2 linked regions of the Oreochromis niloticus genome follow. The protein of the gene in region 1 binds, or shares a complex with, the protein of each later gene. Links are inferred from orthologs where the notes say so. Each region holds a gene or a part of one and is shown on either strand. Other genes may lie near its edges.

Region 1 (15,609 bases):
GTTCAGCCAAAATTCCTCCGCACCTGCGTTATGCTCCTCTAAAAACGTTGCCAATTAATTCCAGGAAACGCTGCTCTATAAAGCATATACAACACATTCCACAGAGCCTCCTTACTGTGACACATAGATTTATGGAGAGATTGAAAAAAGGGAGAAGACCAAGTTTTTGTATTTACTCTGGTCATAAAAATGCATATATTGTTGAGAATTAGTTTTATAGTACTGTAACTGATCTTTTTACCATTACAATTAGTTTTAAAAAAGGCCATGACATCTCCGTTGTCTGTCATCGTCTTCTGCCACAGAGTGAATACACAGCACGCTATCTCTGCTGCAGTCAAACAGACAGGGACAAGTGTAATTGCGGCTTGCGGTTTGGCTGAGCATTCAAACGGAAAAGCAGCTTGTCTACATCTCTGTCTGTGTGTCAGCAAGGATCATTTGTCTTCCAGTCCGTGCACGCGTGTGTGTCTGTGTGTGTGTGTCTTCAGAGAAAGGTTCAGTGTGCATGCAAGATTATGTCTGTCAGCCACTGTCTGCAGTAAAGCTAGCAGTCGTGAGACAAAGAGGGGACACATAAACACACAACTGGACTGAGCGGACGTGGTATGGTGAGAATGCTACGGCGGGCACCCACTATTGCAACAAAGATGAATAAGCCGTTTGTATAAAGCATTTTGCAAGCACACACTCACTCTCACACTCACCATATGCTGGATGACGTATGACCACAAACCCACATCAGGTATCAAAACTCACGTTCGCTTACACTGTACACACAGGCATTACACACTCAGGTACTGACTAAAAACGAACAACAAGAGCCACAGATGCATTTTTTTATACGCTTGTGATCTTTTGAATGCTTTAGACGGTTTCTGTGGTGGAGAATTTGAAACACAGGTATGACTGTAAAAGCATCAAAAGACAATATCATCAGTACCGAGACTGGGCGTGCCAGCATGTGAATTCTTTTCAGGTTATTCTTGTCCAGAGTCTCTGAATGAGCGGCACGAAAACAGGAATCTGACTGTTGAATGAAAAGTGTTTGTGTTTATGTGAGAGCAACACTGTGAGGGAGGGGACTGTGTCTAGCAGGCACTCCACATATCAAACAGTCTGGCTGTGTGCTGCTTCTTTAACTCAAGTAAAAGAGAAACACTCTAACCACAACCCGTGTGTGTACATAATAAGGTGAAACCGTTATGGAACCGGCGTATGCATACAGATATAGACGCACGCATTTGGTGATATTTAAAAAGATGCACCAATATTATCTAGTGAACATCAACAGTCAGCATTCACAGTGTTTCCAGTGATTACACCACAGTTCTGCAGGCTAGGACCAGTTCAGCTCTCTGTAGCACTGATCAGTTCGTACTTAAGTCTGGGGGGGGCACGACCTGATGGGCAGAACAAACAGCCCACGGGGTTAATATGTAATGCTTTACAAATCATTATTTTCGAAACACTCCTTGCCATTTTTTTTTCTAAACCAATTTTATCCTTGTAGTTTGGAATAACAATGACTTAGCGCCATTCCTAACACTAAACATTTTTGGCGTTGCTATAAAATGACCTGGAAAAGCTCAGGAAAGTGTGGAAATTAAACACGCCTGAAGCTGCAGATTGTTTATGAGTGTTTTCATATTATCACAAAGGCACACATGCAGGGGAGTGCCTCAGCCTACACAAGCGTAATGGCCTTTTCCTCCTACATACAGCAGTGCATCTTTGCTTTGGGTCCAAACCACTGAGGCCAGATCAAACTAAACACTGACATATAAATATCCAACAGAGGTATTTTGCATCATAAAATAAACATTTTATCTTACATTGTTGTTTTTCTTGCACTTTCCACTTCTAAACAATTGATCTTGTGATTTACTTACCCCATGTGTGCTCAGATATAAACTATGAGTACATTGCTATATGCTTGTGTGTGTATTTGTGCTTGTCTGTATTCCCACGACAGGGCTAGTGTTTACTCTTCCTCTGGAGAGACGAGTTCTATTTAAGGGAGCGGAGCAACAAGATGGGGAAGAGACAGGTGCCAAGGAAGTCAGCGCAGAGGTCTATGAATAACAAACTAAGGGAGAAGCAGATGATGGTGTGTTTGCTGTAGAAACCAGAACACTGAGCACTCAGCAACTAAAACAACGATTCCTTTTATGACTATGTGACAGTTATTCTTTCAGTTGGTTATAGAAATAAATACAGATTCGTCTTCTCTTTGCTTTCTCTTTTGGTCTCTCTGTGAGTGCACACCGCAGTTGTATCCGCTTCCAGCTCTCTGAAGTCGCTCCCGCTTTCCTCTCTGCATATCTCCCACTGTATTGGAAAAACAGGGTGTCCACCTTCGTCCTCTAAGCATAATAAATCAGTCTCTCCTTTGCTCTCTCCCGCTCCCCCCTCTGTTCCGATGCACAGCTGCATGTTGGATGTCAGCCCTTCGACACAACAATTGACAGAACATTTCCACTTCATAGTCAGAACAAGCACACGCCTGCTCTTATCGCATATTTTGTTTCCAAACTCGTGTGCTTATGTGTGTGTGTGAGTTACTGTGTGTGCTCTGAGCCTTTAAACCACTCATCACTCTGTCTGCTTTGCCTTGACTCACAAATGTCAATAATCGGACGGAACATGCACAAACTACCCAAAGGTGTTATTGGACGTGCTCATTGTGTATACATGCGGTCATCTTATGGTGTCATGGTGGTTCTACAGTTCATGGATGAATAGTGCGCCAAGAGCACACACACACACAAACACACAAACACACACACACACACACACACACACACAGTTGTGCTAAAGTGGCTCCCAGAAGTTGTCTGTTAAAGAGCAGTCCAGCTCCTCAATTATACAGTCTTTCATGAAAAGGTTCAGTGTCTTGGTTTTTGCCATGTTTGATTGAACACTCGCACTCCCCAGAAATCGCCATACCACAAAAATGATTGCTTTACTTGCAAGCAGTGAACAAATTGCAGCAATACTCAAATATATATTAGAATACAGTTAGTTAACAAATGTTGAAGTTACTCATCTCTGGCCGCATTATCCAGCTCATTAAAAAGGCATGTCGCTCTTCATACATGAAATACTGTAAAGTCAGACCCACCCACTCCCAGCAAGCAGGGAGATAAATCAGTCACTGAGCAGGGCCACAGAGATCCATATTATGTAGTTACTTAGTTACAGGACATTAATAAAACTCATCCCAGTCACCGGCCAGAGGAGAGGAGAAACAGCTGTGTCTGCAGAAGGTCAGGAGGAGGAGGTGAACTACTCCCTAATTCTCTGTGAGCACGAATGTGTTCACAGTTCATCAGAATTAAGCGTTTGCACAATATATCTCCCTTCTGATTAATAATGACCATAAAGACACAGTCATAACACAAAGAAACACATTCAGCAGCAACAGCTACCTAATTGGTTTGCCCGGCCTACTTAGCTGACCTCTCCTGACATGCTCTGCACAGACACATGTTTTTTCATCCATTATTACGGCACTGCTGTAATCACAGGGAGCTGCATTCATTTGCTGGTGCAGATGTTCCAAAGATAGGAGATGATTTTATTTTACTCTTTTTTTTCTCCCTCTCTCCCTCCCTCTCTCTCTTCTGAGCCAAATACTCACCCACGCAGTCATATACAGAAATGGGGACATTTTTAAGAAGAGAGCACATCCGTCCGCATCCCAACTGGACCGCTACCACCTGCTCATCGGACTTCTGGGAAAAGCTCATCAGCTGCCCTGGGCTGTGAGAGAGGAGTCTGCTGTTACAGACAAGCAGGGTTACAGGGGTTAACTTTCCAACAAGAGGCCAATTTACAGCCACGGACAGGAACCATCTATCAGCACTCTGTTGCTTGTCACCAAACAAGCCAAACAGGGCCGCCTTGGGCTAAAGTCACCACTCAAAAAAGTGGCTTTTAGAATTTAAGATGAATAGACAAGACACTTCCCGGTGTGCAGTGGTATCCTGCCAGTGAGGTTCAAGTCTTTATGCAGAAGTTAGTAACAATATTTTATGTAGGGTATTATTAGATACACATGTCCCTTGCTCAGATAAGAAGAAAAACTGAAATTTTAAGGAAAAACTGCCATAAATGTTGTTGCCTATAAGAGGCTTTACAGCTGAGCTGTTTTTATGATATGTATAAAATATAAAAATTTAAATAAATTTAAATAAATCTCGTATTTTATCATTTTGACTGTATTTTTTATCCCTATTTAGGTCACATGCACCACTGTTTACACTGCAAATAAGTCAGGCACAAAGCATATATGCCAATATCCTGCCAAGAAGACATGAGAAAAACCTCAGTGTCAAATTACAAATCATATTAAATTCATGGTAATGTAATTTTAAACTGAGATAATGACAGTATTTTACATGTGAAGGAGCCATATAGTTGCCATGGCTGACATATTACGTTGTTGCAATGAACTTCAATATTGATAACACTGTAACTGACTGTAAACTTGTTTAGTTTGCTGTAAAGCTCAGAATTTTAACATTAGAAGGGTCCCTTTCTGATCTTGTTGATTTACTGAACATTTTCTCTTTCACACATACACAACCCAAAAGACCTTTCTACCAAGAACATGATTCTCCGAACGTTTTACTGAAAATTTCAACGTATAAATTGTTCATATCAGACCTAAAATTATGAGTATTATTTTTTTTCATCTAAATTTTGATTTCATTTGCAAGCTTTGTGACTCCAGTCCTAAAAAGAGGAGGAGGAGAAGACTGACAGCTTGAAAAGGAGGCTGGGAGTGGCAGTAAAGAGCTGGAATCAGGGGCCAGATTACGATGGAGGAGAGTTGATGAAAGAGAGTGTGTGGTATATAGCATTATACAATGGAGTAATGTGAACCTACTATCCTACGGGGGACAGATCACTTGTAAGGAAAAAGAAAAGAATTGGTAAAAAAAAACATTCTTGTGTCAAACACCCCGAACCCCGTACTGACATAACCACTCACTTCAGCATCATCAACACGTAGCACCAATCCTACACAAACCCTCGCATGCAAAGGAGTTTAAAATACTAAATTCATGGAAGCAAAGCCGCACATCATTAGCAGCACACTAGTCTATGTCGAACATTTTCAGTTATGCACACTCACACCATTCCAAGGAGTTGGCAGGCCTATTAATACCACACTTCAAGGACTAAGGGATTGGGCATGGAGCCATAAGATGCTATCTGGTGACAGATACACACTTGTGTCTCTCTTTCTGTCCTCAGGGTAGTGCTTTTCACTCCGCCTGCCAAGCTGAAAGGTTAGAATGGTTACATTCCCACAGTAAGACCCAGTTGGCCTTCACAGGGTTGTGACAAATCTCAGATGTTTTTAGTATATGAAGATATTTTTTTAGGAAGAAGCATTTTGTATTTAGTGCTGTTTTAAAGGTTTCATATGGCATAATGGTGCGTCTTTCCACAAAACTGAAAGGAGAGTGTTGCTGCTATAATGTGCTTTTTTCCCCAGAAAATAAACAGAGCAACCATGGAGGAAGTAAGTAACAAAATCTAATTCACTCTGAACATCTGCTATTAAATCATTAGGACAGATGCAGGTGCCCTGCCCACTCACAGACTGTATCTGATTTTAGCAGCTGTCATCTCAAGTGAAGCTTCGTTACCAGTAATCATAAATCAGCACAGCATTGGCACAACCATTTTAAAACCAGCAGTCACGTCAACAAAAGATGCAGAGACTCGACTCTGTCAAACATTTCTTTAATTTGTTTCTTCTCCCTCACTTCTCCCTTTATTAACCAAAGACTAAAGATGAATTAAACTGGTAGGAGTGGGACTGGGTGAGGCGTTTCACTTATTATATTTGCCCAACCAGCTTACCTCCTGCGGTGTCTATAATTCTGCACATGTACTTTTTTGTTATTGTGGAAGTAACAAAGGTGGCAGTGGTGCAGAGTAGGGATTAGGGGAAGTTAAGACCTCAGGGAAGTTTGAACTCGGGCCAACCAGGGCACATGTCCTTCCAAAGGCAGGGCTCTTTAAGCATTAAACCATCAAAATGTTAGCAGAGGTGGGTAATTTGGGGATGAGAACCACACCACCGAGTCCTTTCTGTTGGCATCAGCATGCAAAAAGAGTCACATGAACGCTGTCTTGGAGAAAACTGTGTGGCATTGATAATTAGAAAGCCCTGACTATTTTTGCTTGGCCTTCAGCAGTGGAAATCAGCATTACTGGATTGCAAAACAAACCGCACACAGACCTCATGCGGTATGTTTGAGAAAGTCATTTTAAAGGTTTATTCCTTCTTGTTACAAAATCAGTAAAAACATACCAAACGGAACTGCGCTGTTATGCTGCTGTTGAAGCGACTTCTGCCACCGGTGATCTGAATGGCTGAAATTCCTCACCTTCCCACATCCACACAAGCATTTAATAGATTTTGATTGCATATTTACTACGACCAGGTCCCACCTCTGCAGCCTTCAAATCCTGCGTTCCGTACAGTCACTATAAATTAACTACTCAGTGTAAATGTTGATGTTATGCTTAGCCTGACCAAAGTATTGGCAGACCTATTTCCTTTCAAAGCTGATTGCTGGTTTGGTTAGAACGTGGTTTGTGCTAAGATGCAGGATGGCTCAAAAAATACCCTCCATGTGGATTCGTAAAAACTACTATCAAAGTACTAAAATAATTTATTATGAACAGTCAGAACATCTGTGTCCCATGCAATCAGTCAGCTGTATTAATATTTATAATGCACATCTGTTTCTTTTAAATACAAGTTACATGTATAAACATATTTAAATGGGACTACTTTTTGTTTTTTGCTGAGCAGCTGAATGTCAGTTCAGGAATGTATAAGTGTGTAATGTATGATGTGTTAGTTTTGTAGCTTAAAGGGTAATTGTGGTCATTATCTACCCAGTGTAATAGTCATTAGGTCGTCCATTCAAACATGTTAAATGCTCACTTCTGCTATTCACACTCTGTTGGGAAGGTGAGGGGGGTGGTGTGTGTGTGTGTGTGTGTGTGTGTGTGTGTGTGTGTGTGTGTGTGTGTGTGTGTGTGTGTGTGTGCTGATGCCACTTTTCTCTGCTTTCACGGATACTTACTTTTTCCAGCAATCTCACTTTGAATGCTCACAAGTTCCTAAATTAAGCTTTGCTCCAGAACTTTGGTCCCAAGTTTGCTTCGTTTTAAGTTCCCATGCATTCACTTCATTCTTTTGGATCCATGCGCACACACTCTCACGCACACAAGCCACTCCCCTGATAGCCATCAGCTCCAAGGCACACGCTATTGTTTCAGCTCGGTGCTAATTACTTCAGGTCTTGACCTCGGGTTCAGACGAAGAGCAATAGAGGGGGAAGGTGCGTATGCGAATATGTGCCCCTCTGAATGTGTGAGTGTTTCTGCGTTGGGGGTTGGGGTGGTTGGTTGGGGAGGTCATTGGTGCTGCCAATCAGTTTTCACACTGGATTTGCGAAACCATCATGGGGTGATCTAAGAGGGAGCTAGAACAGCAGCACAATGACACCAGTCAACTTGACTGCTGCTGATTTGGACATGTTTTCAGCATTTGTGCAACTCTCTGATATAGACAGGAACTCTCAGAAAATCTGATAGAAATGGTTTGATGTGCAAAAGTGTTTCTAGTTCAAGTTTCAAGTCTATTATATCACAATTAAGTATCTCTGCAATGTTACTGTTCTTTTCTTCTCCCGTTTGTTCCAGTTTTTGTTGCTAATGTTTACTTTGTGTGAGTAGATAGTAGAGATTAAACAGGCACATATTTGGGGTCAGGGCGAACTTTTATGTTTGTGTCCATGAAAGGGTGTGTATTCAGTTGTTTCAATAGGTTAACTCCTGAACCTTGATAAATAATGCTTGGACGTGGTACATATTTAAATGACAGAACTACAGCAGTCCTTGCACATAGATGGAATTTAACTAGAGAATCATAACTTTGCAGAAAAGCCCGAGTACTGTATATCTGCTAGTCTGCAACTGCATCTGAATTTTCTGAGTTTGATTACATCTGGGAGATTCTTTAAGCTGTCATAATTCTGCATGTTACTTTGAAGAACACACACATGAAGCATCCCTTCTCCCAAAATATTTGCAAGCATATCCAAGCCCTTTCTCACCCAAGGCCACTTAACAACACAGAAAAGCCAAAGCAACACTATTCACCGCTAGTGTCATGCTGTAAAAAAAAAAAAAAAAAAAAAAAAAAAACCTTCTCCCTGGGTGCCACTTGCAAACAAAACCTGTCCAGTATGTGCATTCACTGCAATGCAAAACAGATTTCCAATGCTTCAGCATCACTTAAGGCCCTATTTTCAATTACAATGTCATGAGCACTTAGAGCTGACAGGCCTTTAGAGCAGGGGAGTGGAACCTGTGGTGGCGTTCCAGATGCCCTTAAAAGACAATTAAGGACTTTAAATATAAAACACACAAACACACACACACACACATGCACACTCTAAATCTACTTTTCAGATGCATATTTTCTAAAAATACAGCCAATAAAATTATATGTAGACCACATCATCCGGTCAAAATACATGTTCTGGATATTGTCAGAATTAGCTAGGGAATGCTTCTCATTTTCTTTTCAGGGGGAAAGGAGAGGAAACACAGTGAGAAGAATGAGAAAAGAAAAGAAAAGAAAAGCATGAAAAGGAAATGAGACGGGAGAAGGCAAAATGCTGAAGGAAAGGAAAGAGCGAGAGGGGGGAGAGAGTATAAAGGGGAGAGGGGAGTGGATGAAGCTCGCTCTTCTATTTTTCTCTCGAATCCCGCCCACCTGGCCAGGGGTTGGTCAGGGAAACCCAACTCCCGTGCTTGGATTGGTCGGCTTTTCTCTGGACGAGGAAAATAGTCTCCCTTCACAGACACAATAAAGTTTAATGCTGGACGCTTGGAAGCAGTAGGCACAAAATCAGTCCCGCTGTATGTTTTGTCGGTCCGCTGCGCTTTCCCACACGGAGTTACTGACGGGAGACGTCATAAGAAGGACTTGAGGATTTATCAAGATGCAGTTTTGTTTGTTTGTTTCTCAAACTGCAAGTGCGCACGTTCTTTTAATTGAAAACACGCGCTTTTGATATCGCAATGATCCACTTCTGCGTTCAGGATATTTGAATTTATTGAATGGCTCAGAGTGGGATTGTGTAGCTCCCAGAGCGCACGGACGAACACGCACTCCGCTCCAGCTGGACTACAAACGCCGCTGTAGGTTCCAGGGCGACTTAACCCGACTGTGTTTGACGAGATAATAACTGTGGCAACATTTACAGAGGGGCAGCCGCTCAATATCAGGGTGACCATGCCCGGGATGATGGTGTCGCTCACGGGGTCAGCAGTGCTTCTCTTATCCGGATTGGTCGCTCCGCTCTGCTTGGTCAGGGCTTTTGGCGATGAGGTGGAGGAGATGACCTGCGACCCGATCCGGATCAGCATGTGCCAGGGTCTCGGTTACAACGTCACCAAGATGCCCAACTTGGTCGGCAACGTGCTGCAGTCGGACGCAGAGCTGCAACTGACCACGTTCACGCCGCTCATTCAGTACGGCTGCTCAAGTCAACTCAAGGTAGTGGACCCATGCGAATCGTAGCGACTGATGTCAAGGCATCACAACAGAGTAGAATAACCACCATGCAAATATAATAATAATAATGATGATAATAATACACCATTAACGTGCACAAATTTAGGAACAAGCCTGGTCTAAAAAAAAGCATGGCTCAGTCTGGAATCTCTGCTATATTTATTTGCGTGCGTCAAAGAGAGAGGAGCAGTGTGTTTGTCTCAAAGCGCATGACAGAGCTGCAGCACCGCGAACTGATCAGACTGATGGCCCCGGTGATAATGAGGGCCATAACATGAGTTGATTCCCACGGAGTCAAGAGGAGCGGGCGGGAGCGGGGGGCTCCGTGCCTTCCTCCCTTTCCTGTTGTGCCAGGCTGTCATGCTAAATTCATTGAAAATGCCCCCTCTGTCTGTTGACATTCTGAGTTCATGCCCCTCACAGCAACAGCTGAGTCTTCAGTGCTATATACTGCACTGTCTTGTTAACAATGATGCCCTCAGTGTCATAAAACAAATGCTGCTTGTTTGACTCCTGCACCATGTAAGGAAAAAAGAAAAAGATTGGTCCAATTATGTGACATTTCATTTTCTATTATTGGAGCAGCTGGTGGCACATCAGAGATTTCTTTTAGAGATGGCAAGTTTCAGTGTGGACAAGTGGTGTTTACATTTTTCTATAATTTGCTTTTATTCCCTTTATTTAGAGACGCCCAGTTTCAAAGGCATGCAAGCATGTCCAGATCGTCTAGACATCCTCGCACACTGACATGAAATCAAGCCCACACCTTTCCAAGTGCTTTTTCCCCCCCTCAGTCCTTATTTTAAGTCCACTGCCCTGCCTGGAGTGGCATGTGATTTTATTACAGCGTTAGAGTGACTTATTGCTGTGTGCAGCTGTTGGGAAATAGGGGTAAAAAAATATTTTGGCATGTTAAATTAATACACTGCTTAAGAAGCATACAGTGTGTGCTAGATGACCACACAGATCAAGAAGCAACTGCAGCATGAAGCCAAACTGTCCTCCTCCAGTTGTAAATTGTCCAGTAAGTTTAGCTGACAACCCAGTTTCTCTCTCTCTCTCTCTCACACACACACACACACACACACACACACACACACAGATGCTAAAGAGGGAGAAAGGGGAAAGAGGAACCGTATCATTTAACATTTGCTCTAATGGGAGGCTTCCTGAGTAGTAACCGGAGTAGCTTTTCGCAGTGAAGTGACAGGACTCAGGTTACCAACAGTCAGGGAAAACACCCAGAATATGTGAGGTTACTGTCACAGCTTGAGTATGCAGAGCTCACCGTGAGAATTATTTGAAGTATAACATGTGTTGTATGTCTTATGAACTTCTTTGAATGCTTTAGTAACTCAAACCAAGACAATATTACAACATTTGGGTTGATTGCATTTTATCAAGTCACAATTATTCAGGATGGCAGGTCTTCAATAAATTTCAGGAACATACATTCTCTGTTTTTGGTGAGAAACTCTATAACAGGGATGTCAAACTCATTTTACATTGTTGGCCACATAAAGGCCACTTTGGGCCAGACCAGTGAAACTACATGATAACCCAGATGCCGATCAGGGAACAGTGTAATAAGCTGAGAGTTTAAAGGACGTTTTCTTAGACTCGGATTAGTGATTTTGATATTGCCGCGGTAACAAGTCGCTGATTCATTATCAGAAGACAAGTCAACATTATCTGCTTGTAGATGTGTAGCAGAACAGTAGCTCAGTCATTTAATGTATATTAAATTTGTTTATATCTCAAACATGCTTCAGTGCACAGAGGCAACAGTTTTAACCTTTCCCCACCAGTAAATTCTCACAGACACTAAGAGTTGTATAACATTTCCCTGATTATTTATTTCCCAACCTTGACACCCTTGTTGGATTCATGTTTCATTTGGGCTCCGTTCAAGGGCCGATTTCAAGCTGCGATTTGTTTATAACTGGATCAAGGCTGCACTTCTGTAACATGTAGTTCCTGCTGTGGCCCAATACATATTTTGATATTTTTCAAATGGAAAAACAGCATCAAACCTTTTACTCCAGCACATTTTTTTAACCACTCCAAGTGCCTAGAGCTTGTTTCCGTTATCTCATGGTAGCTGAGTGAAATGCACTTTCTGCTTCTGTGTGTTTTCATATCATGAGCCTGGTACAATTTTACACTCTGGCTTCAAACAGATTTCACTATAAATGCATGAAATCACTTAAAATTGCTACCCTCTGTAACCCCAGAGTATTTCTTCCCTCACTGCTGCTAGAATGTCTGCACGCAGTCAAATGTGACTCCAGACTGTTCACTATCTTTATAACACTGACTTAGATATCTATTTCAAAACTATTGCCATGGGACAGAATAAAAACCAGGCTTAGATCAGGGGGATCATGCAGCATTACACGGCACATGCCCTCACTGCTGTAATGACCACAGATTGTTTTTGATGGTACGGATTTGTATGCGTAACCTTGGAGCAGGTTAGTGTTGACTCTCTCTGTCTTGACTCAAGATGTGGCATTCCTTATTAGAGGTGAAAATAGAGAGCCGCTAATAGAAGAGGTGATGCAATGTAATGAAAGTCGGAGCAGAAAAAGCAGCAGGATAGCGAGATGTATATGCAAGTAGCTGGAGGAGCCACATGTGGGAGTACTGTACAGTTAGCAGCTGTAATCCAGTTGTAATATACAGAAAGCCTACAGGGCCGGCATTACACTCACAGCACTGTTTTCACTCCTTTAAAATACACCACACAAATGACACAATTTACCTTTGATTCACTTCAATCAAACTGTGAAACACAAGTCTAAAAAGTATGACATAAGATTGGATAACTGTTGCTCTCCTATTGCAATTTCAGTGTTTAATTGAAACTGGCTTAAGTATACTGTTGCTTTCACTTGCTCTAGATGAACTGGAATTGGAGCTTAGTACCAGTACCAGTTTTTAATGGGCAAAAACTTCTGATATTCATATATACATATTCATATATATTCCTTATACTGCACAGAGGATGAAAAAGCCCTTTAGAGTTCACTGCTTTGAGAATTCAATGGGAGGAGTGCTGCTGGCATCATTAGCGTCCACTTGTCCCCTTTTGAGCTGTGGTTCTCGAACTGTCGGGCGGACCCCAAAGAGGCTCACTTGAGCTGGACTATGAAAGGGCCAAGTTGAATGATAATGATTATTGTGGTTGAAAATAAACAAGCATTTACAGATGATATCATGCTGGCTTTTATTTCACTAAAGTTAAACTTGTATTCATTTCATAAATTATTAACTGTTGTTGGGTGTGGAGCATTAGCTTTTGTCCTGCTTCTGAAGTGTGGCATGCCAGAGGGCCTTGGAGGGAAGGGTCACTCCAACTCAGAGTTGTTCCGAGGGATCCCCTTTATATTATGATGAAACACTTCTATCTTGATAGTATTGGCTTTTTCAAGGGAACAAAGGGTAAATGAATAATTTGATTAGTGTGAAAATGATTTGAATAATATACTGTGGGTTTAGAGTCACTTGGTGCCAACCCAGGTGAACATCTGTGGAGATTCTGGACAGATGTTTTAGACAGCATTCCCCACTAGCATCATTAAAAACAACCAATGGGTGAAAATCCTTTAGAAGAGTAGTGTTCATGCCTACACTTAAAGAATCAGTGGCAAGGCTTATTGAAGCACTTCTGACAGCCATGCAATGGACCAACACCTTAAGTAAGAAGCTTTATGTTGGTTGTCCTTCATTTTTCTGCCCATACCTTATGTTAGAGTTATGCTGAACAGGAAAATGATGAGTGGCCATTGTTTCTGAACTTCCGGCAATGTGTTTGACAAATTAGACACAACTTGACCCTGCACCTACTCGGCTGTGGTTCCCTGACACAACTGCAGACATCGATGAGAGTATTGTGAACAATCTTCCCAAAGAGAAGCGCAAATATGCCGGTATATTAGTATTAGACTAATATATTGTTCATGTGACAATGTTTTTCCTCCCAAAAGTTACTTTGCAGTCACTCTTTGCTCCATGACTTTAAATCTCATCACAGAATGCATAGTTTGCCAAACTTGATTACATTTGCAAAGGATCACATGTTAAACATGTATTTCTTTATCTCCACTTTCCAACAGTTCTTCTTGTGCTCAGTTTATGTGCCAATGTGCACAGACAAGGTTCCCATCCCTATTGGTCCATGTGGCAGCATGTGTCTGTCGGTCAAGAAAAAATGCCTCCCCGTGCTCCACGAGTTTGGCTTCATATGGCCTGAGGTGAGTCGTATCACCAAAGACATCACGCATGTCTTAAAAAAATATGAGTTCAGGATGTAGTTTAGCAATGTGGAAAACCAAGAAACGTTTAAATCCATTACTGACATTACCCATTATATTTTCTGCCCAGGAGCTCAATTGCAGCCTCTTCCCACCTCAAAACGACCACAACCACATGTGTATGGAGGGTCCAGGGGATGAAGACCCTCCATACCAGCCCGTCCGCCATCCTCCCCACCAAGAGGAGTGTCACGCCCTGGGATCTGCACCTGACCAATATACTTGGCTTAAACAGACTGAAAGCTGTACGCTCCAGTGCGGCTATGACAGCGGGCTCTACAGGCGAGGGGCCAAAGTGTTCACGGATGCGTGGATGGCGGTGTGGGCTGTGCTGTGCTTCCTCTCAACCACTCTGACAGTCTTGACCTTTCTCTTGGATTCTCAGCGTTTCTCCTACCCAGAAAGGCCCATCATCTTTCTCTCCATGTGCTGTAACCTGTACAGCGTAGCCTACCTGGTAAGCAGGAGGTTTAGTATTATTTCAATCTATTTAATTTCACTTGTCTTGTTCTTGTTAAGAAGTAATAAAGCTATTTCATCAAAAATAATCAGATGAGCACCTTATGGAATAGTTTTTGCATATCGATTATTTTTCATATTTTATAAAAATGTTGTAGAGTAACAGCGCCAGCAGTTGAACATAATCCAACAAGAGTACAGTTTGTTTTTGAGTTTTCAAAATGTTACATCAGTGATTAAATACTAAAAGCACTTTTTGATTCATCACTGCATTCAGATAATTCAGTAATCTCCAGCTCTGCCTCTCTGCATTTAGAAAGAAAGACAATCCGTCCTCTTTCTGCCTTCTTCTGGGATTAATTCAGCCTCACCTCTTTTCCCTTTCTGTTCTTTTATGTCATTTAACAGGTACGACTGACTCTTGGGAGGGAACGTGTTTCCTGCGATCTGGATGCTGCAGCAGTGCCAATTCTGGTACAAGAAGGATTAAAGAGCACCGGCTGTTCCATAGTCTTCCTCCTCCTTTATTTCTTTGGCATGGCGTCCTCTCTCTGGTTAGTGCAAATAAACACGGACTTGCAGACTTTTTGCTGTATAAATCCTTCATCTCTTTGCCCCAGTTTAATCATTGTCATCAGCAGCTGGGAATTGTTTTTGCTAGAACAATTGGAATATGAGACTTGCATCCTGTTTTCCTTAAAGTCTTACTGCCCTGTCTCATAACCCATGTACCATTTGGGTTCATTTCCGACACATGCAAAGGTAAAAGTGACACTTCTTAAATATGTCCTGCACTGGAAACACTGCTGTTACAGCTGTTTTTCTTCCTTTTCGCTTGGGCCTTGCTTTCCTGTTTGCCTACACTCTTCCCTATTTGGAAAAGCAAGAGACCAAGGACTTCACTCTCTCCTAAAATATTATCATAACCCTCTATTATGCAACTCACGGCTAGCTGGTGTCAGGATAACTTAATTATAATTGACGACTGGCCATGTCCACCTGATTGGTTATGAAAAAGTTACATAAATGGAAAATTATGTGTTGTTCCAACAGTAATCAGTAGCCTATGGTTTTCCTAAGTATCTTAGTTTCTAGAAACAGATGTTTTCTTTTCACTATAAAAAGAAAAATATAATCTGATAAGTGTACCCATGAGAAAAATGTGTTGCTTATATTGCTCCTTTGTCTGCTCTCTCTTCCAGGTGGGTAATC
Region 2 (15,388 bases), on another chromosome or scaffold:
ACCATTTGTAAGGCTTTCCACCTTCCCGTGCCCAACAGCCTGCTCGAAGGTCTTCTCAGCAAGTAAGAGCCCACAAATCAGTTTAGAGTAGAGACCAGTTCAAGTGTCTGTGAAGGTTCTCAGTCATCCAGGTCATCGTAGTCAAAGGAGTTTGCAAAGAAAAGCGTCTGGACTTCTTTAAGTTGCTTGAAGACGTTTCACCTCTCATCCGAGAAGCTTCTTCAGTTCTAAGGTCAAATGGCCGAGAGTCCCAGATTTAAACCCAGTGGGAGTATCCCCCCCAAGGAGGGACAAAGGACCCCCTGGTGATCCTCTAATCACATGCGCCAAGGTGTGAAAGCGGGTGTTTCACAATGGGCTCACCTGAAACCCTGGCTGATTAGGTCCCACACCCGCTTTCACACCTTGGCGCATGTGATTAGAGGATCACCAGGGGGTCCTTTGTCCCTCCTTGGGGGGGATACTCCCACTGGGTTTAAATCTGGGACTCTCGGCCATTTGACCTTAGAACTGAAGAAGCTTCTCGGATGAGAGGTGAAACGTCTTCAAGCAACTTAAAGAAGTCCAGACGCTTTTCTTTGCAAACTCCTTTGAAGACCAGTTCAAGGTCCCCTCAAAAATTTCAGAACATTTTCAGAAGGCTTTTCAGAAAGATTTATTTTCACTGAGGTAAAGTGCAGTCCGCAGTTTGTGCCCAGTTCTTGTCATTAAAAAAAAATCTCTACCGAACTGAAAACCACAAAAATGAAGAAATGGTGCCTTGTTACAATCTTTTCAGGGACATTTCTTATAAATATTTAAAGGTGTGTTCTGACCAGAGTTGTTTTTTTTAATTGAAATTAAAATTTTGGTTTCTATTTTCAGTTGGTTTCCAGTGTGCGTTTGATTTTTTAGTTTCAGCCTAATAGTGTTTAGGCTCAGTTTAGTTTTTTTCTCTTTCATTTTTTATTATTTATATTGGGGGTATTTGACTGGGTAAGAAATATAAGACATCAAGCAGACATCCCAATCACAATCTGCACTAACATCTCCTGATGGTTGGGAAAACTTCATTTGACCATTTCTACATATTTTTGCTGCTTTTGTCAGCCCAGAATATTGTTTGGTAGTCTTTGTTTTCTCTGAAGTCTATATTGTTTATTTTTATTCCACATAAAAAAAAAAATCATACTTGGCTTTACAGTTGTGGTTACAAGTTGTGAAGAAAAGTTTTGAAGTAGTGCAGAGACAGTGCAGAAATATGGGTTAAACTTGGCCCAGGTGGTGTGAATACAGTCCAATATGCATCCATGCAAACTGAAAATATTTCAGCTTTCAACAAAAAATGTATGAAAGCCACAGAGATTCTGACTCGGACTGGATTTTCCAGAAGCCACAGACAAATAGAAAGTACATGATTATTGTAGCACCTTCATGGCAGCTGGAACTGAATAATTCAACCTCGCAGATCTTTGGGAAGAGTAAGCAAAAATTGCAGGGGTCTGATAATTAATGGGCATGTGTAATTCTATCTGTGAGTTACTCTTGGAAAGGAAGCAATTCTTAATTTTAAGTTTGCAAAATGGTCCAAAAAGCTCCAGCGACTGTGGCCATGAAGTACAAAAAAACGGTTTCTTATGTGGATGGTATCTTTTATCCAGGTTTGCAGATGGAGATGAGATTGACTACCATGCCTTCCTTGCTGGTATTAACTGGTTAGAGCACCCTGCTCCACCCGTGATGCCTGAAGACACCTTAAAGGTGAGAAAAAGGAGTAACTAATACAAATAAAGCAAGAAGAAATAGTCAATTCAGTGAGAGACAGTAAGTGATTTCACAGCATGTGCACAGATTTTTAAATAGGGGTAATTGAAAATGAGTTTAAGTTCTCCTCTAACCTGCGATCACTCAGTGGATAAGTGAGCCAAAGGCAGAATCAAGTGAGCGGAAAGGAACAGTCATCGGACAAGAAGAATCTGTGTGTGTGTGTGTCTGTGTGTGTGTGTAAGGCAAATGTCTTGAGAGAGACATACATACAGGGGTGGTCAAAAAGAAGTAGCTCTTCTCTTCTTCTCTCTTTTACTTGTATCTTTCCTGTGTAATACAAATTCAGCATGCTACGCTACAGCCAAATCTAAGCAGAAACAGGTGAGCAGGAGAGATATTCACCAGACTTGCGTGAATAGAACGAGAGTGAAGGAATCTGTGTATGTGCTCACGGTGTGTGTGTGTGTGTGTGTGTGTGTGTGTGTGTATACTGACACTGTGCTTAATTTATTCTCCATTTTCCTCTGCCATGGTTTCCAGCTGCTTATTGCCTCGCCGGCTTCTAAGCCCAAACTCATTGCTCAGTCTCTGCTCAACTACTCTGCCGTCCTAAAAAAGCTCCAAGGTAAACCCTCGAAGTGACCAAAAATGGCCACTGCACCTTTTTAACATTTTTTTAAGGTGTCAAAAACAACAGGAATGTCACGTTGGCAGGTCCAGACAAACTAACTTCTCCTTGGGTGCCTTTTTGGTATTTGCTGCATTCCAACTCGCTTTTTAGCATTGCTGATTTTCTTATTGCCTCTGCTGTTATCATTCTTTTGTTCTGTTCATTTTACTTTATCTTGGAAACAATTCAAAAAAAAGTGGAAAGTGCTAAATGGCACTTTTGTAAGCAGGATTTTCTTTTGTTTTCTAGGGTTTAATCAGTATAATGTAGGCAGCTGTAAAGACAGCCCTTAGTTTTCTTAACGTTTGAAAAAGCAGTGCTATTTTAAATAGCCCTTTTGCTACACTCTGAAATGTTTAATTTGTGTAAAAGTGCATAGTCAAGTCATAGTCCAGAGTCAAGCAAATAAAAGAACAATAAAGAAGAGCTTTATCACAGAGAAGCACAAACAGTCACAGAGGAGAGACAGAAATAGTAAAATAAAGCTGGACACCAGAATAATCAATTATTTACAACACTAAGTATTTGAATCTGCTCAAAGTGACGTGTGTGTTCCTGTTTCCAGTTTGAAGTCGATGTGGGGTTTGATGGTGGCGGAGCTGCCGTGAAAAACATCAACTACTCTGCCTTCCTGCAGGATGCATTCAGCTTGCCCTCCAACAGCAGTGACACCTCAGCATAGACACATACCCTTACCCCATGGACACAAACACACACACACACACACTGCTCATTCCTCAATTAAAGGACATGGTACATCACATAACCAGTCTCTGTGTTTTCATCATGGGTCAGAGTGGAGATGTGTAAAACCACAGGAGAAGTGGTATGTGTGCGTGTGTGTGTGTGTGTGTGTGTGTGCGTGCGTGTGTGTGTGTGTGTGCGTACAGTTTGGCAGCAGTGGTTCAAGCGCAAAGCTAAAACAATTGAGTTAACTGGAAAATTGGTGCTTTAGGGGAGAGAAGTTGTGAGAACACAGATGTTTTTTTATGTGCTTGCATGTGTTAGTGTGTGTTTGCGATTTGGTTTGAATTTAGCCAAGATATGGTTGAAAAACACATGCTGGGCAGAGCTCTGCTCACAAATATATTGATTAAACAGTATTACCTTTACAAGAAAAAGCTGACATTTGGCAGTCATTTTGTTAATGATACCAGGTAGTTATGTTGTGTCCGCCTTGCCAAATGATTAAATTAAAGGACAAGGACATAAAAATTTTAGGTAGTAAACTTTACTACAACGTGCTACACGTTGTTCAAAGTCATCAGTGATACTCCTAAACCTAACCCTGGGAATTCAGAACATGTAGTTAATGTTTTTATGAAATTCCTTTTCCAAGTCTTGGCAATGAGGGAAGTTCGAAAACAGTCTGACACACATCAGAAACTATTCACATTTTTACAGGGTTATGGTAGGGTTAGGTTTATCTGCTATGATGACTAAGCCCTCAGAGGTTTAAGCTGCTTTAACCCTTTGAGAGCTAAGGTTAAGCCTAATTACAGCTGCCGCAGCCTCTGCAAGCTGCTTCGCAACCCTACCTCTACCCCAGCTCTTCCATTTCATACGATTTTCTGACTTAATCAGTGTCATGCTTGTTGTCACTGATGCCTGCCAAAGATAAATTACTGCAGACACAGTGGTTAACACATTTGCCTTGCAGCAAGAAAGTCCTGAATTTGAATCCACCAGCTGGCTGACGCCTTTCTGTGTGGAGGTTGCACATTCTCCCTGCATGGGTTCTTCAATTCAATTCAATTCAATTCAATTTTATTTTATTTATATAGCGCCAAATCACAACAAAAGTCGCCTCAAGGTGCTTTATATACTTGGGTACTTGGGTTCTCTCCAAGTACGCTGGCTTCACCGCCCAGTGCTCCACCCAAGTCAGATTAACTGGTGTTCTAAACTGGCCATAGGTAGGAAAGCGAGTGTGAATGGTTGTCTGTCCGTTGGTTTTGATGACAGACTGGCAACCTGTCCAGGGTGTACCTTGGACTTACCTTGTGACAACTGGGATAGCCTCGAGCCCACTGGGACCCTGGCCTGGCTTTATGCAGTTACCATAAATTCATAAGAGGTGAAATGAAATGAATGACCTCAACCATACAGCTCTTTATTCAGTATGAACCTCCTAGTCACTGGACAACTTTTCTACCTTCTCTAGAGCTGTAGAAATAGCTGAGAAGACACTAAAATTCCCAACTTGGCTAAAGCATTCACTCGTGTCTTGGCAGTTGTTCTGGGTACTGGACACAAAATTATCAGCCCTCCTGTGAAATCAAAAGTTTTCACTGGGGGGCTGATAATTTTGTCCTAATCCGTAGATGGGTTGTAATGATCCAAAATCTGGCAAATATATCCAGGACTTATATGTTTATTATCAAGGCAAAATCTTACTTTTAAAAGTAGAAATGTACATAGAGAAAACAAAATGGATTTTGTTGTTATTGTTGTCTCTCTTTGGCTTCAGTTATATATTCCTTTAGGCTCATTCCAGCATCAGTGACTTATTGTCAGTGATAGTTCTGGGATTTCTTTTCTCATACTAAATGGATGAAAACATCGCAAAGGATATTGGCAACACATAGAAGTGAGGAGTGAGCTCTTCAGAGGTCTGAATTACATGGAACTACACTCTCATGTTTGCCTGTCTGTATGTGGCACTGTTAGAATATGAAAAAGCACAGGTTGTTCAGGTTGAGGCGCCGTTGTAATGGGAGCCGGCGTTGCAAATTATAGTAAGGGGATAAGTCAAACATTGGGTAATCAAACACCCAATCCCCTTTGTGTAACCACACACACACACACATGCAAACACACACCATATGCACTGCCTCACCCCTTTCACACTGAGCACAGAAACAGTGCATTACATCACTCAGGGCATTATCAGGTCCTGTCCGCCTGCTTTCACACATACTAAAATATTAACCTCCACAGTCACCCGCCACCAAAACACAACGAGTGACGGTGATGCGGTCAGCGGTGGCGGGGAGCTTCCTGGGCACATGCTTGGCTTTTTTTTGCCTTCTGAAACATGAGGTGAGAGAGAGAGGATAATGAGGGAGGAATTTCAACGCCTCCACCACCCCCACATCGTCCAACACTCCTCTTCCTCCTGTCAGTTGCTATGCACCCACACATCCCATTTTCTGCCCTGTCACGGTCTGTGGCACAGCAACAGCAGATTGAATGGGTTGCGTCATCATCATTGGGCTTTAAAATATGGATGTGACGTATGAGGTGCACAATGTCCTTCAGGAGTAGGCTGGGTTTTTAAAAATATAGAATATTATAGTTTGAGCTGAAGTATATGAAGTACTTGCTGATCAATGATTTTTGATTGTCTTTGGATGTATTCAGAAAATAAATCACGCTTTGCGAAAAACTATAAGTTTGTTAGTAGGATGCCTCCATTATTTAAAGTGGGGAGGAAGTACTCAGAGACTTACTGACATATGGGGAAGGTCATGCAGTGAAAATATCAAAGGAAGTTATTATATTCAGGACAGTGTATTACTACTTTAAAAAGTGCCCCAGGCAGAGTAATGGTCACTGTGACTGTTATGTGTATATTACATTATAAATATGCATTCAGTTAAAAACAAGCAACTAATGATTGTGTTCTTTACAGATTAATCACTAATCATTTCGCAAATGAATCCATTAAATGTAGAGTAGAATGTAGTGGAAGACACTCATCTAGTTATGAACCAAATTTCCACTTACTGACTGCTGCTTTTTTTGCTGATAATGAGAACATCCTGAGCTTTAATATATACATGAGAAAGAACATATATAAATGTGCTGATTTATATTCATCCAGACCAGTTACAGAAGAGAATCAAAAACTATGAAAAGGAGAGAACAAACTTATTGATCTCAGAGCTTTTGCTTCTGTGTCTGACACAAAAGAAAGATGTCTGTCAGGTTTCAAAAAGCAGTTGGGTTGATCCTTCAGAAAAGTGATGGATCTTTTTCAGGAGTCCTTCCATTTGTGTAGGATGGGCCTTCTTGGCACAAGTCGACCAAAAGCAGTAATTTCAGCTTGGATTCTGTTCAGGTTCACATTTGGAGGGTTTACCCCAAATATTGCTGTAATAGCAGACAGTGCACTTTCCCCCAAATTGTAGAAAACTTTCAAAGTATTGACATCAGAAATTTTTTAAATTTGGGTACAAGCAAAGACAGTTTACAACGATCACATGTAGTCTTAAGGTCACAGTAAATTTCTGTTAATTAAATAATCTGACTTTGGCCCAGTGAAGCCTGTGTATGGTCTTAAATTGGAGTATTTAATGTTGAAGGCAGACAGAGGATGGTTGTATTAGCTGAACGACTTTGTGCCACTCCCATCTTTGTTTTGAAGAGTGTAAAGCTACAAGGCCATGAGCATTTAGTAATTTATTCCATTGTTTCAAATGCATGTTACACTTGAGGACAGCATCTAAGAGAGAACTTAGGGCAGAGGCGGACATAGGTAAAAACAAATCTTTACCAAAAAAAAGTCTTTCTCCTTCATCTGTTCTCATCTGTAAATATTGTTTAATGAGGTAAGAAGAATGCTGAACTCAAATCTATGTGAGAATTGTGCAAAAGAAAAAGATTTTTAAAACCTTTACTTGGTGCAAAGCCCTCTTTTTACGCTGCTTTTAACAGATTTCAAGGTGTCTGTACAAGAGTCTCTCCATCTAAAGCAATGCATTATCAGGGACTGTAACATCTAGTCCTTTTTACTGAATGAATGTAAATAATGTTGCAAAAATAGCTGCTTCATAACATTCAGCTAGCATACGAGAGGTTCCTGGTTCAAGACTTCCCATGAGATTGCATCTGGTGTAAAAATCAAATATCTGGAGCTGTCTGCTGTGGGGACCCCTTCTGTATAAGTTAGCAGCCAACAGAAGCTCATTTTGGCTGCTGAGAGAATGACAGAAGTAGTTTCTGAAAGTGTTTTTAAGTTGGTATGTGAATTTACTGTAGGTCATCCGCATCCCAAAGAACAAAAGTCCTCCTAGAAGTGAGTGTACCTGTTGGCACTTATTTGCGCAGTTGCTTTAAAGCATTATCAGATCTGGGGTGGTAAACCTGCAGCTCCACAGCCATATGCTGCCCTTTTGCTCATCTCACATGAGACAAATTAGCAAACACCAAAAACAGTAACATGCTAAATAATTTCAAGAAAAATCAGGATATCGCTGTATTTACAGGTCCCACAGTTGATGGTTGTCTACATGTAGCTGGAGAAAAATGAAAATGAATCTCGCATATTGAACTAGACTGTCTACTGCAGATTAGATAACTGGAATAAAATGGATGGATGGAGTCCACAGTTGAGCAGAGTAGTCAGATGTGTTAATAGGTTTTGATTTACATGAGTAAGAGCTTCATAGAGATTTTTGGGGTCAAAAGTTGCTCTTTGGAATAGTAAATGTACTTTATTTTCAGCGCAACTGCATGCACAGAATCACAGCAGTGAAAACAAAACACAACTACTGATATAAGTTTGCTGTCTTTGTCCTGAAATATGGTAGCTGGATATTGTGCCATGTGTCTCTCTTGCATTAGGGAGTAGGTAGTCCTGAATAAGTGAATGATGAGATTCATCAGCGGTTAAAAAAGGGGAAGTTTCTCAAGAAAAGAAAATTACAAATTAAAAGGAAAAATTTTTTGTTTAGCTGCAGTTGTCCACACAGAAAACAAAAGCTAACAGGCATTAGCTTCCATAATTGTAATGGACCCTACCATGGAGTTTGGTTAACTCCATAAAATTCTAATCATTGTGATGAACTTTTATAAATGTATTTATTTATTAACGTCACAATTTTAAAAAGGACTTTTATGTGAATTGATATTTGTCTGCATGCTGTATAGAAGGCAACAGTTGTCTTGCAGTGCTGTTAATGTTTAAGAAAGCGTTTTATCAAACAGCACGACGATGAACATGTGACTCAAACTTTGCAGCAAACACGGGGGCAGCGCTATCATGAATCACCCTCTGCGATGCACTGTTTAGTTCATGTGGTTTGTGTTCTGTTGCCTCAGCACGAACAGGACACTGAGGCTTGTTTTAAAGAGTCTGCTCCCTTTTTTCTTTTCTTTTTTTTTGTCCTCATTCTACATTACTGCTGTTCTGCTCAGGACGATTGTACTGTAAAAACCGATATGCAGGAAATCCATAAATGTCTCCTGGGTGAAGAGGATCTGAGTGTGCGGCGCACGGGTATGTTTGCGTGCACGCACTGTATGTGCGTGATTGGCCTAATGCAAGTCTGATGGAGTCATGGCTAATCTATGAAGTCTAAACAGATATCTGAGAACAAGAGGGGGGAGTTTCTGTTTACTGGCTGGGTTCCTTTCTTTTCTCATGACAACAAATCTTAAACCTGGAACAACACACTCACACACACACACACACACACACACACATCACAAAGCACCTGTGTTCAGATGTTGTTTTCTCAGAACTCTTCCCCCAAAGCAGCAGTTTTTGGCCCTGCACTTAACTTGGAACAATCTGCCAGTAATTGGTATAATCTTTTAATCCGCCCTGCTAATGATTTTCTACACAGTTTAAGACTGTAGTTGTGGAAAATTATCAAGTTTGTTTAGCTAAAGTCATTACCTACACAAGAAAAAAAAATACAGCCAGGGCATCAGACTTACGCCATCTCACGCTATCCCCAACACTGTCCCGCTCTGTCACACCAACCCTCTGCATGTCGTCCTTCAGTGCGTCCATAAATCTTCTCTGTGGTCTTCCTCTTTGCCTTTTTCTTGGCAGCTCCAAATTCAACATCCTTTGTTCAAAATATCCACTATTCCTCCTGCGTCCAAACCAGCTTTTTGTCCAAACTGCTCAACCTCAACTGTCCCTCTGATATACTCATTTTACTTCAATTTCAAAATATGTGTATATTTAATTTATTTGGATTTTTTAATTTTTAATTTTTTTTTTTTAATGGTCCGTTGGCCCACTTTCAGGCCTTTTTGTCACATATTTTAATCTGAGGCAAAGGATAAACATGCATATCTGAAAGACTGTTAAAGATAAAAGCCTGAATTTTTCATTGCCCTGACATACATCAAAGTACGTGTAAGTACTGGCTAGGTAAAATATGAAAAAACAAATTCAAGCCATCCTGTAAAGTCTCACATTGTGAAAGACAATTCACAAAACTGTGAATTAAAGCATGCAGAAAAGTTTTTAACATGAAATACTTAATCACGAAAGATTGAGCATATATGACAAAAACACAAGTATCAGTAGATTGTCGCGTCTAAATAAATCAGAAGTATGACATTTACAGGTGGGACTTTAATTACAACTCAGAAAATAATTTTGTTAAATATGTATAGATTTTTTTCCATTTTCTTCTTAAATCATCACATTTATAAAAACATTTTCTGCATTTAAAAAAATGCCTAGAAAGTTTATGTTTCAAAGGTTGAACATATGTTCTGTTTGCTGTGAAATTGTAGCTTTATGTATCAAATACTTTCAAGATATATTTTTGGAGAAATGGTCCATTTATCCATTTTCAGGCCTTTTTTTTTTGCACATTGAAATCTCAGACAATGTTTGAATATGATTATCTCAAAAGTGATTAAAGATAAAAGCCTGAAATTTTCATGCTGGATTGGGGAAACATAACAAGTTTTACCACAAAAACAAAATATGAGCAGATAGTTTAATCCAAATAGAACAAATCTCTGTTTTGAGTTTTTGATCATCTGATTTGAGATGGAACGACAAGTTGTGATGAAAACTTTGGAAAACCTTTGGAAATGAGAGCTAGATAGTATCTTGTTTGTTGGCTGGTTTTTGTTTTTGCCTTCTGAACACAGGTAGAGTGTTTTTGTAGCACAGTTCAAACTACCTTCACTAAACGTGGTGCCTTTCCACCTGTTGATTCTGACTCAGAAGTCCCAAGTGGGCTGCAGAGGTAGAGCAGCTACTTTAATGGTACTTCTTTGGGAATGAAGTGAGTTTAGTAGATTGTTTTTTGCAGCTCTCCCTCATTCCGGTGATTGCTCAGTGCCTATGGCCATTGGTATAGAGAGAGGGTGGAAGTAGAGAGGGGTGTAAGGCTTAGCCCCTACTTTACAGGGTCAGACCCTGCCCCAGGTGCACATGGGGAAGCACTTATTTGCTCTTTTTTTTTGTTCCATATCTCAGAATCTTTCACTTTCTCTCTTATATCCCTTTATCCACAAACCCTCCACCCAGTGGGGTTGTTCTGATTTCCCATGCAATGTCATGCACACAGCTATGTGCTTTTGGGTTTAAATGAGTGTTAAGATCATTAGCTACGGTGTGGTCTGCACTCACTGCGCCCTCATCGCCATTTGAGCCGTGCAGTTTCTCTTTGATACCACAGTTTTATTGCTGTACTAGACAATATCCCTTGATTCTGAGCTAACTGTGTTTCTCCCTGAGCTCCATAGGCAGACCTGGTACACTCATCAAACACCAAGTTGTCTTTGGCAGCTGCTGTGACATTACTCTACCTGGTCAAGAACAGAGAAAGTTATTCTACACCAGCTTTAAATTACAACTATGGGACTATTTTTGTCAGGCATTTGGCTCCCAGTGGAGACCACTTTTGAGGCAAACACGCCTGTTTTTCTGTTGCACACTGGTCTGCATAAATCTCCAAAAATAATAGCCCACTTCTATTTTTTTTAAATACTGAAAGTTAAGCTTCCAAATGAAGACTGAATACGTGTGTGTTCACCATCAGTCAGTCTGCTGTTTTATGTGTCTCGCAGACGATATGAAGTGGCTCGAAATAAGCTGTCCTGCTCCGAAGGAAACAAGTTAAAAACTGACAGATATCAATGTTTACATCTTTGGACAGGGCATCAGAGCTTTATCATCACCATAAATTCTTTGCTGGTGTTAGGATACCATGCCCAAAGGCCAGCAAATGTGTGACTCAGGTGATGCGATATGACCCTGCCCTGCTAATCCTGTTGAAGACCAGTTCGAGTGCTGGTGCTCACAGGGACAGGAGGATCAGAGTGCCTACAGCCAAGGTGGGACTTAATAAAGACATGGACCGCTGTCACATGCAACTGAAGCGAAAAAAATCTTAAGGTGGTGACACGTCACTAAAATGGAGCCGAACAAAGAGAGAAACGAGGTGTAATTTTAAAAAGTAAGTTACCTGCCAGCAGCTGTCACATTATTCTTGCTTTTTATTACCGCCCATTTACCAGCTAAAACTGCAGAGAGTGAGAGAGTTTGTCCAAGTTGTCAGGAAGCTGCTTTTGCAGCGGTATGTCAGCTCAGTGCATCCCCCTTCAGCTCAATATGTCTTCTGGCCTTTCTCCTCCGCTCTCTGCCTCCCACCCCACCCTCTTCTCCCCGCATATGGGATTCACATTTGGCTCCACTGACCGTTTTTTTAATGTGATATTATGATACATTATCTGAAGCCATTTACTCCCTGTCACCACCTCTCATGTGGACACAAGCCGAGTTAAGCCAAGGAGAGGCAGTCAGACTCCAGTCCAGGTGAGTTATGACCATTTAATTTGACACCATTCACAGCCGGCCCGATCTTTTACAATGCCTGAAAGTGCAATCAAAACACAAACACAAAACACTTACGTGTGCTTCTCGCTCTCACTCTCTAGGAGCCCGTTGGTGGCATATAAGTTTTCACCCCCACCTCCTGCTGCTGGTTGTAAATCCCCTCTGTCGAAGGTGTATTTGTGCGAGAAAGAGAGGGAACAGAAGGCGAGAAATTTGAGGGTCAGCTGAGGCCTTCCAGGTAATTGTGCTTCTTAAACTTTTGACCCTGTAAGCCCTGCTTAGTGTGGTGGACCTCTCTCCCCTTATTTCCCCTGAGAATTTTTACTCCCCATACCAAGGACATGTTCGTGTGTGATACAATGACAATATGAGCATAGGCTGTCACCAAACACGTGTTATTCTTTTACACCTTTTTTGGGGGGCCATGAACTCGTTACTTATTTCATGAGGCGATGAAAAATGGCACGAGCTAGTCCCTTAATAGGCTCTGCCTCTCTGTGCCTGTGTAAAAACTGTGAAATACCCTTTTCCCTCTGTATCCCAGTACCACAAACACATCAGGTAGTTGTCATATTTTTGATAATTCCCTATCCAGAAATGCTGAAAAGGAAGCGAGGTCACTGACGTAATCGACTGCAATAATCAGGCGACTGTCGTGCGCGCAGCCTCAGAGAATATATAACTTTCAGGGCAAGCCTCATTATTTGCCTTCTCTTCACAGCAGTGTGCCCCTTTAATATTTCCAGGGTCTGTCTGTCTTCATATTGAGCCGCTTGAGAATGATGGATGAGGTTATTACAGTTGGATCCACTCGGGGCTCTCCTATATTGCAGTTTGTTTTCATCATTTCTAAACATACAACTGACTTTAGGTTTGTGCTCATATTTCCCCTCCCCTCCGGGTTGTGTGTCTGTGTTTTAAACACAGAGTAATTTTTGGCAAATAAGTCTTTCATTCGGTTATAATTTGGCGCTTTTCATAATGTCTCCTTTTTCAATATATTCAGCGTATGTGTAGCTTTGCTTTTCTAATGGAAGTAAATGGTATCTCAGAGTTGCAATCCCAAATATGCTTCTCTCCTTCCCCTTCCTTCCTCCCCTCCAAACCACCACCACACCTGCGAACCCCTCCGCCCCTACCCCTGTGTCATGGGGGGACGCCGCGTGAAGAGGAAGGGCCGTAGGGGCCAGTTGTTTTTAAATAAACTAAATCTGCTAACAGTTTTATAACCCTGACCTCGTAAAAAACTGGCTGCAGCTTTTGGTCAGCTCTCTCTTGATGGGGCGAGCAGAGTCGTTCCAAGCCTGGAATTCCCATTTGCCGCTGCGGAGCATGTCGGTGCGTCAGCTGGTGTGCCTGCGAGAGAGAGGGAAAAGGGAAAAGGGCGTATGATATATGATTGCTGTGTCACGATCCACATGTGATGAGCGTCCTCACAGGCGGGGAGCATCCAGGCTGCTCCCTCTATCTGGTGATTTCCCTGTTAAAGAAAAGTAAGGGAGAGGGGGGCAAGGGAGGGAGAAAGAGAGAGAAAGCAGAGGTGAGAGAGAGAGAGAGAGGGAGAGGGAGGAGAGAGGAGCGCTCAGACAATCAGTGTGTGTGTGTGTGTGTGTGTGTGTGTGAGTGAGAGAGAGAGAGAGAGAGGTAGAAACAAGAGGAGAGAGGAGCTGGCTGGGAAACAACAGTTGAACAACAAATCCAGTGTTGCATGCAGCCTCTCCGGATACCTCTGCTGTCTTTCTGCTGCCGGTCACTGAAGGTAAGACCATCAGGCTGGGTGTCACACCTCTGAATCTGCACTCCTACAGATTTGGGTGCATCCTGTTGTCTTTTTCTTATAACTCTGTGTGCTGCAACTGTAGTTAATCAAACTCTGTATCAGGCATGCCATCAAGGATCCAAGTATTCACTGCTATACCCTGGATTTGTTTCACGTGTGTGCATTTTTACGTAGCTGTATGTACATCACACATGGGCTCGCTCAAAGAGAGTTTGACTGACACTCCTGCTCACTTTTATTTTCTCTCCCCCTCCTCCTCCCTTCCTCTGTTGCACATCACTAAGCTCAGGTGTGCATTCCTGTTTTACTGCAGGTCGTTTCTACACCGTGTGAGTCCAGAAACTGCAAGTGGTTGTGATTAGGACGCAGTGTGACATGATTTGTAATAAGAGGAAACATGTTTGTGTTGGCGCCGGTGGATTTGCTAATCAGGCACTGACAGCGAGGCTGGATAGTGGGAACCCGCGTGGCTTGCGGGACGTTAATGAACATCGCTGTGCGTTGATAGTGAACATCTCCAGAGATGCATGAATATGTGTTTTACAGGTGTGTGCGTTCATGGCTGTAAGTGTATGATTGACTTGGCCTGTTATGTTGGACCCCGAGGCTGCTGGCTTATGCTAGAAGTACATGATGACAGATACAATAGACTCTGTGGTAGGTAGGAGGAGGAGGAGGAGGCGAGCTACCACTTTGATTTGACTGAGGAGGAGAGGCGTGTGTGCGTGTGTGTGAGAATGATAAAGGGAGAAGGTGTTTAAATGAAAAATGAAGTGGCTACAAAAGAGTGTGGGATAATGTGAGTGGGGTAGGAAAAGAAGCCCAAGTAGGAGGAAAGGGAAAAAAATCATCTGAGAAAGAAAGAGACGGGCAGAGCCAGGAGGAGGACACAATAAATAGGAGAAACAGAATGAAACTGAGATGTGTGAGAGAGGCTGAGAAAAGAAGGGCTGGAGGAGGTGAGAGTGAGAGAGCATGACACAAGACAGGGCGGAAAAAAGAAAGCGATTGAGACCGTGTGATGCAAACAGCCCTCCAGACATCGCCATCCACTTCCGGTGACACCAGATGAGAAACAGTTTGCGCGGTAACGAAAGAAGCGCCGCAGACTCTGAGAATCACCTCTGAACTGTTTGGGGAAGAGAAAAAGGCGAAGACAAGGAGTAGGAGGTGTGTTTGAAACACTGCACAGTCAGCCAGGTGCAGATAGACAGCAATGCTCTGGCAGAGCAGCGCACACTTGGTTTTGTGTCTCATGTTTCATATTCTCACACACACACACACGCACACACACACACACTGGGGCCCATTGTGAGTATATTTATTTGGACAGTGCTGAAGCTCCGATAGGCAGTTCACAATGTCTCACTGCCACAGGAATGTGCTTCTGACAAATGGATGCTCTACACGAACCTGAGGCTATCAAGGGGATCCTTAATACCAACCACCCAGACGAGCATGTGGCAGATATCTGCTGCCCAAAGAAACCCGGTCCAGAGTGATAAAACAAATGCGTCCATGACTCCTTTCGCTCCCTCTTTTTCAAAAAGGCCTTAGGCCCAGAGCTGCATTGAGGATCGATCTAGTTACATGCGCAGCTTTTTTAGCCCACAGCTCACCACAGCTTTTCTTTTCCCCCACTTCTTTCTGA

Evidence for each region.
Region 2: the proteins of fzd4 (region 1) and ndp are in contact, whole or in part, in a crystal structure (PDB 5BQE), measured with the Homo sapiens proteins. The link is inferred for Oreochromis niloticus from reciprocal best matches to the Homo sapiens genes FZD4 and NDP. Residues at the interface, in NP_036325.2 of Homo sapiens: Ser51, Met52, Gln54, Asn55, Leu56, Gly57, Gln95, Phe96, Met105, Thr107, Lys109, Ile114, Asn152, His154, Met157, Cys158, Met159, Glu160, Gly161, Pro162; in NP_000257.1 of Homo sapiens: Asp33, Ser34, Pro36, Arg38, Met40, Arg41, His42, His43, Tyr44, Val45, Asp46, Lys58, Met59, Val60, Leu61, Lys102, Lys104, Leu106, Tyr122, Leu124, Ser125.

Annotation. Positions count from the first base shown.
Region 1 is NC_031979.2:17,449,972-17,465,580, reverse strand, and holds the start of fzd4 (frizzled-4), read left to right. Parts: upstream 1-8,883; 5' UTR 8,884-9,340; coding exon 9,341-9,604; intron 9,605-13,740; coding exon 13,741-13,878; intron 13,879-14,008; coding exon 14,009-14,395; intron 14,396-14,805; coding exon 14,806-14,951; intron 14,952-15,599; coding exon 15,600-15,609. UniProt on the Homo sapiens protein: Receptor for Wnt proteins.
Region 2 is NC_031987.2:31,089,851-31,105,238, reverse strand, and holds the start of ndp (norrin), read left to right. Parts: upstream 1-9,498; 5' UTR 9,499-12,195; intron 12,196-13,510; exon of another isoform or gene 13,511-13,581; 5' UTR 13,582-13,716; intron 13,717-15,388. Other genes in the region: efhc2 (EF-hand domain-containing family member C2), read left to right, coding at 1-62, 1,641-1,740, 2,982-3,098. UniProt on the Homo sapiens protein: Activates the canonical Wnt signaling pathway through FZD4 and LRP5 coreceptor.